Schizosaccharomyces pombe: one gene and its partner. The protein of the gene in region 2 interacts with the protein of the main gene of each other region in a pairwise test. Each region holds a gene or a part of one and is shown on either strand. Other genes may lie near its edges.

The links.
Region 1: the proteins of SPOM_SPAC23A1.14C (region 2) and pex5 interact in a two-hybrid assay, tested with the Schizosaccharomyces pombe proteins (2 studies listed by BioGRID).

Annotation. Positions count from the first base shown.
Region 1 is NC_003423.3:1,214,959-1,219,802, forward strand, and holds pex5 (peroxisomal targeting signal receptor Pex5), read left to right. Parts: upstream 1-1,758; 5' UTR 1,759-2,060; coding exon 2,061-3,857; 3' UTR 3,858-4,286; downstream 4,287-4,844. Other genes in the region: serine/threonine protein kinase Ppk31, read right to left, coding at 1-963; pir2 (C2H2-type zinc finger domain-containing protein), read left to right, coding at 4,551-4,614, 4,667-4,774, 4,829-4,844.
Region 2 is NC_003424.3:4,100,766-4,105,260, forward strand, and holds SPOM_SPAC23A1.14C (cystathionine gamma-synthase-like protein), read right to left. Parts: upstream 2,444-4,495; 5' UTR 2,191-2,443; coding exon 994-2,190; 3' UTR 511-993; downstream 1-510. Other genes in the region: SNARE protein Sec20, read right to left, coding at 3,177-3,857; RNA polymerase II CTD phosphatase Rtr1, read right to left, coding at 4,351-4,495.

The DNA of each region.
Region 1 (4,844 bases), on a different chromosome or scaffold from region 2:
AAGAAAATCATACTCCCAATTCACCAATGATTTTTCATAAATCTCTCGCTTCATGTCTTTCGCGGCAGAATTTGAAATTGTCAAAAACGTTCGATGTTCTAAATAAGCAAAATTTTTAATGGATTTGTCCAGTTCCTTAACCAAAAAGTTCAGAGAGCTTCTCCATGATCGAATGCGAAACCTCTGTTTTCTGTTTTTCTTCCCGTTGAATACTGTTATGACCGGCAAGGAAAGAAAGGTTTCTTCAACCATATGATTACTACCCGTAGGGAGTTTGTTAACTATGTCTTCTATTTCCAGCTTCTTACAATTTATCAATTGTTGTACGGCGAAAACGCGGCGTACGAGATCATTCCAAACAAGGCAAAAATCGCTATGTACCTCAAAGTACCACTCTGGTAAATTATCTTCACACAACGAACATAATTTTCCTGAAGGAGGAGGAACGTGTATATAATTGTATTTGATTATTCCGAGCAAATGATCATGAAGAATGAAGGCACCAATCCCTAACGTGTTAAACAGGATGAAATCCATTTCGTTGATCACGGACCGTTGTGGATATAAATATTTTCCTGCCCACAAAACCCTTGTATCTTTACCATACAATGAGTCTACTAGAATGCCTCGAAAAAGCATTCTAATATACGTCTTTCCCTCAAATGGAGCTTTGGCTTGTTGAATATAATAATTAGGACTGCGTATTGGATTACATCTGAGAAAAGCAAAGACATGTGCAACTGATATGCTTTTTCTGAAAAGATTATCGGTTGCTTTCTTCATTAAGTGTTCATCATCGCTTTGAAGATACTCATAGAAACTACATTGAAATAAATCTCCTTCGTAGCCGATTAATTCAAAAAATGCAGGATTGGCATATTCCACTATTCCATTTTTTGACATTTCAATTTTCAGCAGAACTTCGTGGGAAAGTATCCTCTTCAATTGCTCTGGATTAGTCATTGTTTATCATAATTGAACACTTTAAGCTTCTTGGTATAAAAGAAATTGTATTCAAAGTTGTGTAAAATCAATGCAAATGGTTCTTACGCGATAGTTTTTCGGCAAAGACTTTTAATAGTTTGTAAGACTCGTATAATTTAAATACCTTTTTTTACTTATGAAGCGGAATTGTTGTTGTATACAATGTTTTCGTTATTATAACATCATCAATTTATTACTTGGCTTTATTAAATTCGCCAACTAATATGCTAATTCATAATGAGATCACAATTTGAACGAGCGATTTTTAGCACTTTAATTAGCGACAGGTTCTTTAACAAATATTTGTCGGATGTGAACTGTAGGTGGCATCAATTGGTATTAAGCAGAAAACAACCAAAACCATTGTTACAGCGAATATTGACTAGCGAAAATTAATTAGTTTTTTAATACATTTTATTGTGAGCGACAGAAGTATTTGGTGATTTAATTCATTTGGCGTTGTAATTTAGACAACAGGTGAATAAATAGATGTAGAGTTAATACTTCAATCCAACCCTTGGTTTAACTTTCTAATCACACTAATTTGAAAAGAACTTAGAAATAATATGGATTTTTTTCTCTGTATCATAAAGCTATGGTTTTAACATATGCAGCATGGTTTACAAAAGTATAATAAAATGTTGAAATCTAAATTCCTTAGTGGCAATAGATTAGTCTGAAAAAATAAAGAGAAAGTCTTTATTATAAATTGATATGGGTTAATGTGGTGTATTACAGAAGCGATTAATCTAACGTGCTACGCTCAGCATCTACATGAACTGAGCGCACTCATCTAAATATTTTTGTAATTGGTAATAAGCAGCAATACATGCCTGAGTTTATACGCAAGTTTTGTAACAATCATTGGTGCGATCAATTTTTGTTTTTTGGTTAGTTGCATCGTTACTTCTTCCGCTTTTTTGTTTTCATATTTTTGGTTTTTAAAACACATCGCAAATTCAATCAAGTTGCGAAATTTTTCATTCTTTGATATTAATTTTCTTACAACCTACTTAAAAAACTATTTCCTTTTGGTCGAGAGCCTTTATATTGGCTATAGTCTACTTTCTTCAAAAATGTCTGTTGAAGCAGGATGTTCAACGCTATCTAATCCTCTTAAGAAATTGACTTCCACAGCTGTTGTCAATAATTCAACACCTTCAGCTCAATATCGAAAACATTTAACCAAGTCTCAAAGTCGTACTTACGCTCCTTTGCAAACGCTGTCTGAGGATCAATTCACATCTTTCAAAAATCTCCAAGGAAACAATAGTCCTTTAGGTAATGTAGTTAAGAACCCAGTTAGCTTAAAAACTGGAAATCATACCGGCACAACTACTCGTGGAGGCTCGAAAGAAAATTGGGTACATTCTTTTTCTTCTCTTCAGCAGCAGAATAGTAAGTCGGCTTGGACATCAGAATTCTCTGAAGTATTTCTCAATTCATCTGAAAACGACCGTTTTCGAAACTTAAACCAACCTTTAAAACAATCTTTTTTTGGTTCCGCTGGACTAAATTTATCTTCAAATACTGAAATACCCTTACAAAGTTCTTTAGCTATTGACGAAACTGAGTTGGCTAAGAAATTTGAGGAAGCTTCTCAAATCTCCAATAAATTAGAGAAGGAAAAGGATGCTACTGGAAGTAAATCAATTGAGGAGCTATGGGAAGAGCATCAAAAGCAATTGAAAAACGCCGGGCTAGAGCCCGCAAGTTTAGAGGAATACCAGAAACAATGGGAAGATTTTTTAAAGTCAAACAATATTTCTGACGATCCTTACACTTCGTCTGTGAATAGCTTTGCTAATGATAATTTAGCTCATAATAAAAACATAGATCCTCAAATTTTCCAGCATAGCGATACTGATAACGTTGTTGAAAACTCTTTACAAACGGAAGATGTATATTCACAGAACCAAGATGAATCTTCAGAGGTTGTGAAAGAGCTAAACGGAATAGATCCATTTGTTGAAGCCATGAATTTAATAAAAAATGGAGGATCTATCTCGAAAGCAGCTGTGTTATTGGAACAATCTGTGAAAGAGAATCCACAGCACTTCGAGGCCTGGAAATGGTTAGGTCGCATTCATACTCTATTGGGAAACGAATCGCGGGTTGTTGAAGCCCTACTTGAAGCTGTCAAATTGGATTCAACCAATCTTGACTTAATGATGGATCTTGCTGTGTCTTATGTTAATCAGTCTCTAAATGTTCAGGCATTGGTTTGCTTAGAAGACTGGATAGTCAACAGTTTTCCCCAATACCGAAACAGGTTTGCAAAGATAAACGAAAGGTTTGAAGAGAAAGATTCTGCTAACGATCTCTTGAAAATGCAGATGTATTTCTTGGATGTAGCTTATGAGTTATCACTTGCTAAGAAGCGTTCCTCCAAGGTACAAGCTGGATTAGGAATAATTATGTATATGTTGAAGGAGTATGAGCGTTCTGCAGATTGTTTTCGGCAAGCTCTTCAAGACGAACCAAGTAACGAAATATTGTGGAATAAGCTTGGTGCTGCTTTAACAAATGCAGAAAAAAATACTGAAGCTGTTTCTTCCTATAATCGGGCAGTATCTCTACAGCCCCAGTATGTTCGAGTTCGCTCAAACATGGCTGTTTCCAACATCAATTTAGGATACTTTGAAGATGCTGCAAAACATCTACTTGCTGCAATTGATATTATACAAAACAGTTCTACCTCAATGGAGAGCTGCGAATCAAATGAGGAACTTTGGGAAATGCTTCGCAAAGTATTTTTGATTGGATTCCAAAGTACTGATCTTGCCTCTCAGTCCTATCCTGGAGCAAACACTAGTTATATACGAGCCCAGTTAAGTGATCTCCAAGGTTGGCCCGGTGTTGAGCTCGAATAAATCTCTTAAAGCAAACGTGCTTAATTCATTTTTCATGTTATTATTTATTTGGTTGTTTTTTTTTTTAAATTTTTTGTCTGAGGCATATCTTTTAGAGGACGTGCAAAAGCTACTTTTTTTTTGTTGCACAAGAAATGAGATAACTTACGCTTCAATATCTGAAGCAGAGAACAAAAGTAAAAGAAATCTTACTCTATGCTACCAAAGTTACTATTGGTATGCAAGTTGTACCTTTCTTGACCGTTTATACAATGGAAATTAGATCTTCAGTGATTTGAAAACAGATGTTATTGTTTACTTTTGTGAGAGTGCTTCTAAGCTCTTTGTAAGCACAGTTTTTTAAGTAATCCAACATTGTATTTATTGACGATAATGAGACAATGTTTAGTATTAATTGTTCAATAGCATTCGCATAAAATTCGAAGTCTCACTTTTTTGTTTAATCATTTGCTTTTATAATCTCAGTTTATTTAGATATACTGATGCGTATAATAAAGTATTTGACAATTTTCTATATTTTGAATAATGAAACTTAGTGTACCAGCATAAAGTGCTGTATGGATATTTCTCTCTCGTAAGAACATTCTTCAACTAAGCAGGTTGAGTACCAATTTTGACCCAATTGAAATCATTAGTTTTTTAATAAATTAATCCCGATTGCTGGTATTTATAGAAGGGGAACAGTGTCAAAATATGAGTGAGGTCCATCAAGAAAGTGAAGTAGAGTACAGTCGTTGGAAAAGAGAACGCTCTCCTGGTAAGTTGTTAATGTTTAGTTTGATAGAAATACTCATCCTTTTTTTGCATAGAACGGAGTCAAAGACGTTCACAGAGCCCCCCTGGTGAACAGTCTGCGTATCATCGAGAACGGTCTCCTCTACGAAAGCGTGGTAATTACTATGATGATAGAACAAGAGGTAAGAATAAATATAAAATTCTATGAATTGACCTATTAACTACAATACGTCTAGCTTCTGGACCTTACCC
Region 2 (4,495 bases):
AATGGTGCTTATAATACTTCAAGCAGCCTTCATGCCAAAAAGCTCCTTGACTCCGTATGAGCATTTCAGCAGGTGCCAAAGTAGCGACGGAGTCATCGGCAGATAAACCACATAAATGACAAGTGTCCTTATTATCTCCTAAATTGTCTGGTAAAAACTTGACTTCAATCTCCTGAGTTCCCGAAATTTGCTGACGGGACAGGAAGCGCAGACGAGGAAACAATCGCGCCCATGCATTTACGACCTGTTGAGATTTCCAGTAATTAGGATTGCCTTTCCTTAAACAACCCGCAATACACCTTTGAGCAACCTGTCCTGCAGCGAACACCCCTTTGGTGTAAACCTGAGTTTTGGGGTTGCTTAACGCCGTTTGTTTTTCAGAGAATGATAAATTCGACAACTCTTCAAAAAATTCGCTCGGAAAGGCCAACTCATGTTCAACAAGTAAATCAAGTACCTCTGTCGCAGACACCTTTCTCAATGCCTGAGAACCAGGTATAGGCAAATCATCTTCCAAATCTAGTAATGCTATTGAGTCCAGGTTGATACGATTTTATTATTAATTTCTTTAAATCGTTTTTTTTAGAAAAATTCTTTAACAGAAAAGAGAAAAAGTACCTTCACTTAGTTTTTATACGTGAGTTCTTTTTTGGTTATAGTTTGAATCATGAAGGGTTGAAAAGTCCATCCTGGACAATTGAGGGAATACTTAGTTATGAACAAGTAAAGGCTTTGATGGGTTTTGTTAATGCCAAGCATGTTCGAAGGTTAAAGAATGAAAATGATCGGGTTGATGACCTAGAACATGACATCTCACCGATTCTATCGTACCCTTCGCTTTACTGTTGCAATAGCGATCAAGGTGAATTTTTACGTGAAACACAACAATACAAAAAATTGCAAAGAAAGATAGCAAGAATTAAAAATGTTCTCAAAAGGAACGAATTACAATATTCATTAGTACATTAGAAAACAAGCAAATAACACAATGATTTAACTTAAAGATGCAAAGACACGATTCAAATCGGCAATCAAGTCAGCAGCGTCTTCAATACCAATGGACAAGCGAACAAGTCTAGGATCAATCTTGGAATCCGTCATTCTTCGCCATTCAATCAAACTTTCCACACTACCCAACGAAGTAGCGTGATGGAAATATTTCAACTCGCAGCACAAATGCTTAGCAACTGTGTCAGATTTAAGTAGAACAGAAAAGCAAGATGCATGACCGCCAGTCAAATTTTTAGCGACAAATTCCTTGGTCTGCAAGGAGTTATGGTAAACCTCCAAAATCAGGCTACTATCAATTCCTAGGCTAGTAGCAAATTGCTCATCGGTAGCCAACTTGTTCAAATGTTGGGCAACCAAAAATCCGTTTTCACTGTGTTTTGCGATGCGAAGAGGAAAGGTACGAAGAGAGCGCAAGAGTAAGAATGCTTGCTGAGGATGTAAAATTGTGCCAAGATAAGCACGATCTGCTTTCAAATCAAGGATCTTGGATCTATCTTTCGAGGCTGTGACTCCAGCCAAAACATCGCTGTGGCCGGCTAGATATTTAGTCGCCGAGTGAACTACATAATCAGCACCTAAAACAAGTGCATCCTGGATAGGGGGTGGTGCAAAAGTAGAATCCACAACAAGTATGGCACCCTTCTTTTTTGCCAGTTCCTTGTAAAAAGGAATGTCAAAGGCAATACCTAAAGGATTCAAAGGAGTTTCCAACCATATAACATCACCTTCACCGATGGCATCGCATTTGCCATCAATAAATGAGGTTTCTAAACCGGTTAGACGATTGATGCGTGCAATAATTTGGATTGTGCCTGAATAACCACCGAAACCGGGTTTATGAACGGCGATGTGTTTGGGATTTAAATACGACAACAGTCCGTAAATAGCAGCCAAACCAGATGAGTAAACAACAGAAGGTGCACCAAGAACACTGCTCAACGAAGCTTCAGCTCGATCAACATTGTTGCCGCTGATACGGGCATAGTATGGAAAGTCTTCCTCCGCTAGTTTGGTGAAAGGCTGAAGAGTGTCAGGAGTACCGGGATAAGTATAAGTAGTAGAAATATGGATGGGAGGAGCCACATCATTTTCTAATGCATAAGCATCATCGGCATGCAGTACATTAGTACTTAATGTGGACTTGATGTCAGAGAGATCGAACGAAGGAGTGTGAGTCATGCTAAACTAAAGAAAAAAAAACAGAGATGAAATGCAGAAAGGTCACAACAAATGAATTTCGAGAAAACTAGTGTTTACACGTTTACGGAATTAATAATGTTTATATCTAATTGAATGCTCCTACACTAGTAATCACCAATCGACCAAAGAAATAAGTACGAGATCAAACGACAGATACCTAGTTATGATAATTCTTTTAAAGACTTATATCTCCGTTAACTAACGTAAAGAGTTTGGTTAAAGACAAGTTGTTGTGAGACATCGCGGGGCATGTGCCTTAATTTATATCGTTATGCTTACGTGCTTGTAAACACTATATTACGCATTTGAAGTAGAAAGCACACAAACAAATAGAACCAGGACACTGAATAATTAGAACGTTTGGTTAATGAATTTTTACATAAGCAGTTATTAGTTTTAAGTTTATAGGTTTAATGGAGTTTGCTATCCGATCTCAGATTCTAGGCGTTCGTACCGGACCCTAGAAAATATGCGACAGACTTAACAAGATGCGTTTCCCAATTAACAAGCGCTCTAGTTTTTATTAGGAATTCAAAGAATACTGCTCTTTTTGTACTGTGGTCAAACAAATGGTTTTGACAATCAAAGAGGCATATACAATAAGAATGATTTGAAATGCAGCTGCATGCCGACTGTCGCATATTTCGTGAGCAAGAACTCATTTTGTTTACGGAATGGCGTTTCCCATTGAGTTACAAATACTATAGCATTACTATCATCAGCAAACTTCTACGCCATTCAACGTTTTTATTTAAAGAGAACAACACGTAAATAAAAACCAATCGTATAAGATAAACATTAAAACATAAGAACTACTTTACAAAGACTTTTTCAAAATAAAATTGAGAAAAAGGGCGAAAAAATAATTTCTCGTATAGATACTTCGAGCTCGATGGGAACGAGCCTCAAAAAGCCTTGCTTTTAATCTCGCCTTTCTTTTTAATAAACAATGCATTTTCAAAATCTCACCGAAGAAACCAAAGAAACATAGAAAGAATAGGCCAGACAATTCGCTTGAAGAGAAGATAGACAACCACAAATATGAAGAACCCAAATCCCGAGACGACTAAAAAGTAATCACTTCGATCACTTAATTTGAGCGATTTGATTATCCGTTTACTTGTATATAAAACGTCCTCTACACCAAAATATTTCTCTTGTAGAGTTTCTAACAAGTTGGTACTCGAAGACAACTCCATTGCATTTTCGGCACTCATATCCACTGCCTGTACCATTTGTGCGTGAATATCACGCATAGCCGCCGTGACCTGACTGGCGCTTGTAAGATAAATATCATCAGATTGCCACGAACCAGAGTTATCCATTGAACGCTTTTGAAGAGAACCATCACTTGGTGAGGTAATTTCCTCTTCATCTACAATCTTACCTATTTCTTGTGCGATAGGCAACCATGGTTCACCACTAGCAATCTTATTCCGATATCTTCTGTTCAACCGAATGTATTCTTGTACAGCCTTTTCATATCGTAGAACTGAGTCTAGCTGAATGGATGAGTATTCAAGCTCTACCCTTGCAGTTTCCCATATTTTTCTAAACTCTCGAAAATGCCTTTTAATAACTTCAACGCTTTCTGACTGTTGTAATTCAACAACTTTTTCTTCTAGTGCATTCAGAACGTCGGCCATCGAATGCTATGTTCTCTGCTTTATTGAACAAGTTAAAGGAGAAATAGTATTATGAGATGCAAGAGGAAAGAACGATAAAGGTAAATGATGATGAGTGGGAAACGAATGATGGATGCACTAACAATATAGCACAGCTGAAGGTGAATATAAGACTATACATCGAAAGGTTCGGTATATAGAATAAGGAAAAGAAATCAAATGCGGAATTATAAATAACGAGAAATAAAGATGCTAAGAGAGAGAAAGAGACAATAAAGATAGAAGGCAATAAGGTGAAATAAATTAGAAAGTGTAAATGGTAAAGGGAATATTGTATCGATCTTTAATAAAAAGTCGAAAACCACAGAAATGTTACTATGCACGCAACTGTAGAATGAAGCAACCTTTCATTCTAGTTCAAACGACGCTAGACACAAGTCGGTGTCTTTTTTGTTCAAAAATATTATACATATTCTGGGGTGAAAAGAAAAAATTTGATAAACTTCCATTTGCTTTATGATTGTTCATTAGCCAAAGGATGTTCAACGATTTCACCAACTTTTGCCTTATAACCCACAGGCAACGCTTGCAGGAGTAAGCGTACATCTTCAATTTTTTTGTTTTCCAACTCTTTACGAAATGCTTCATCTTGACGAGGA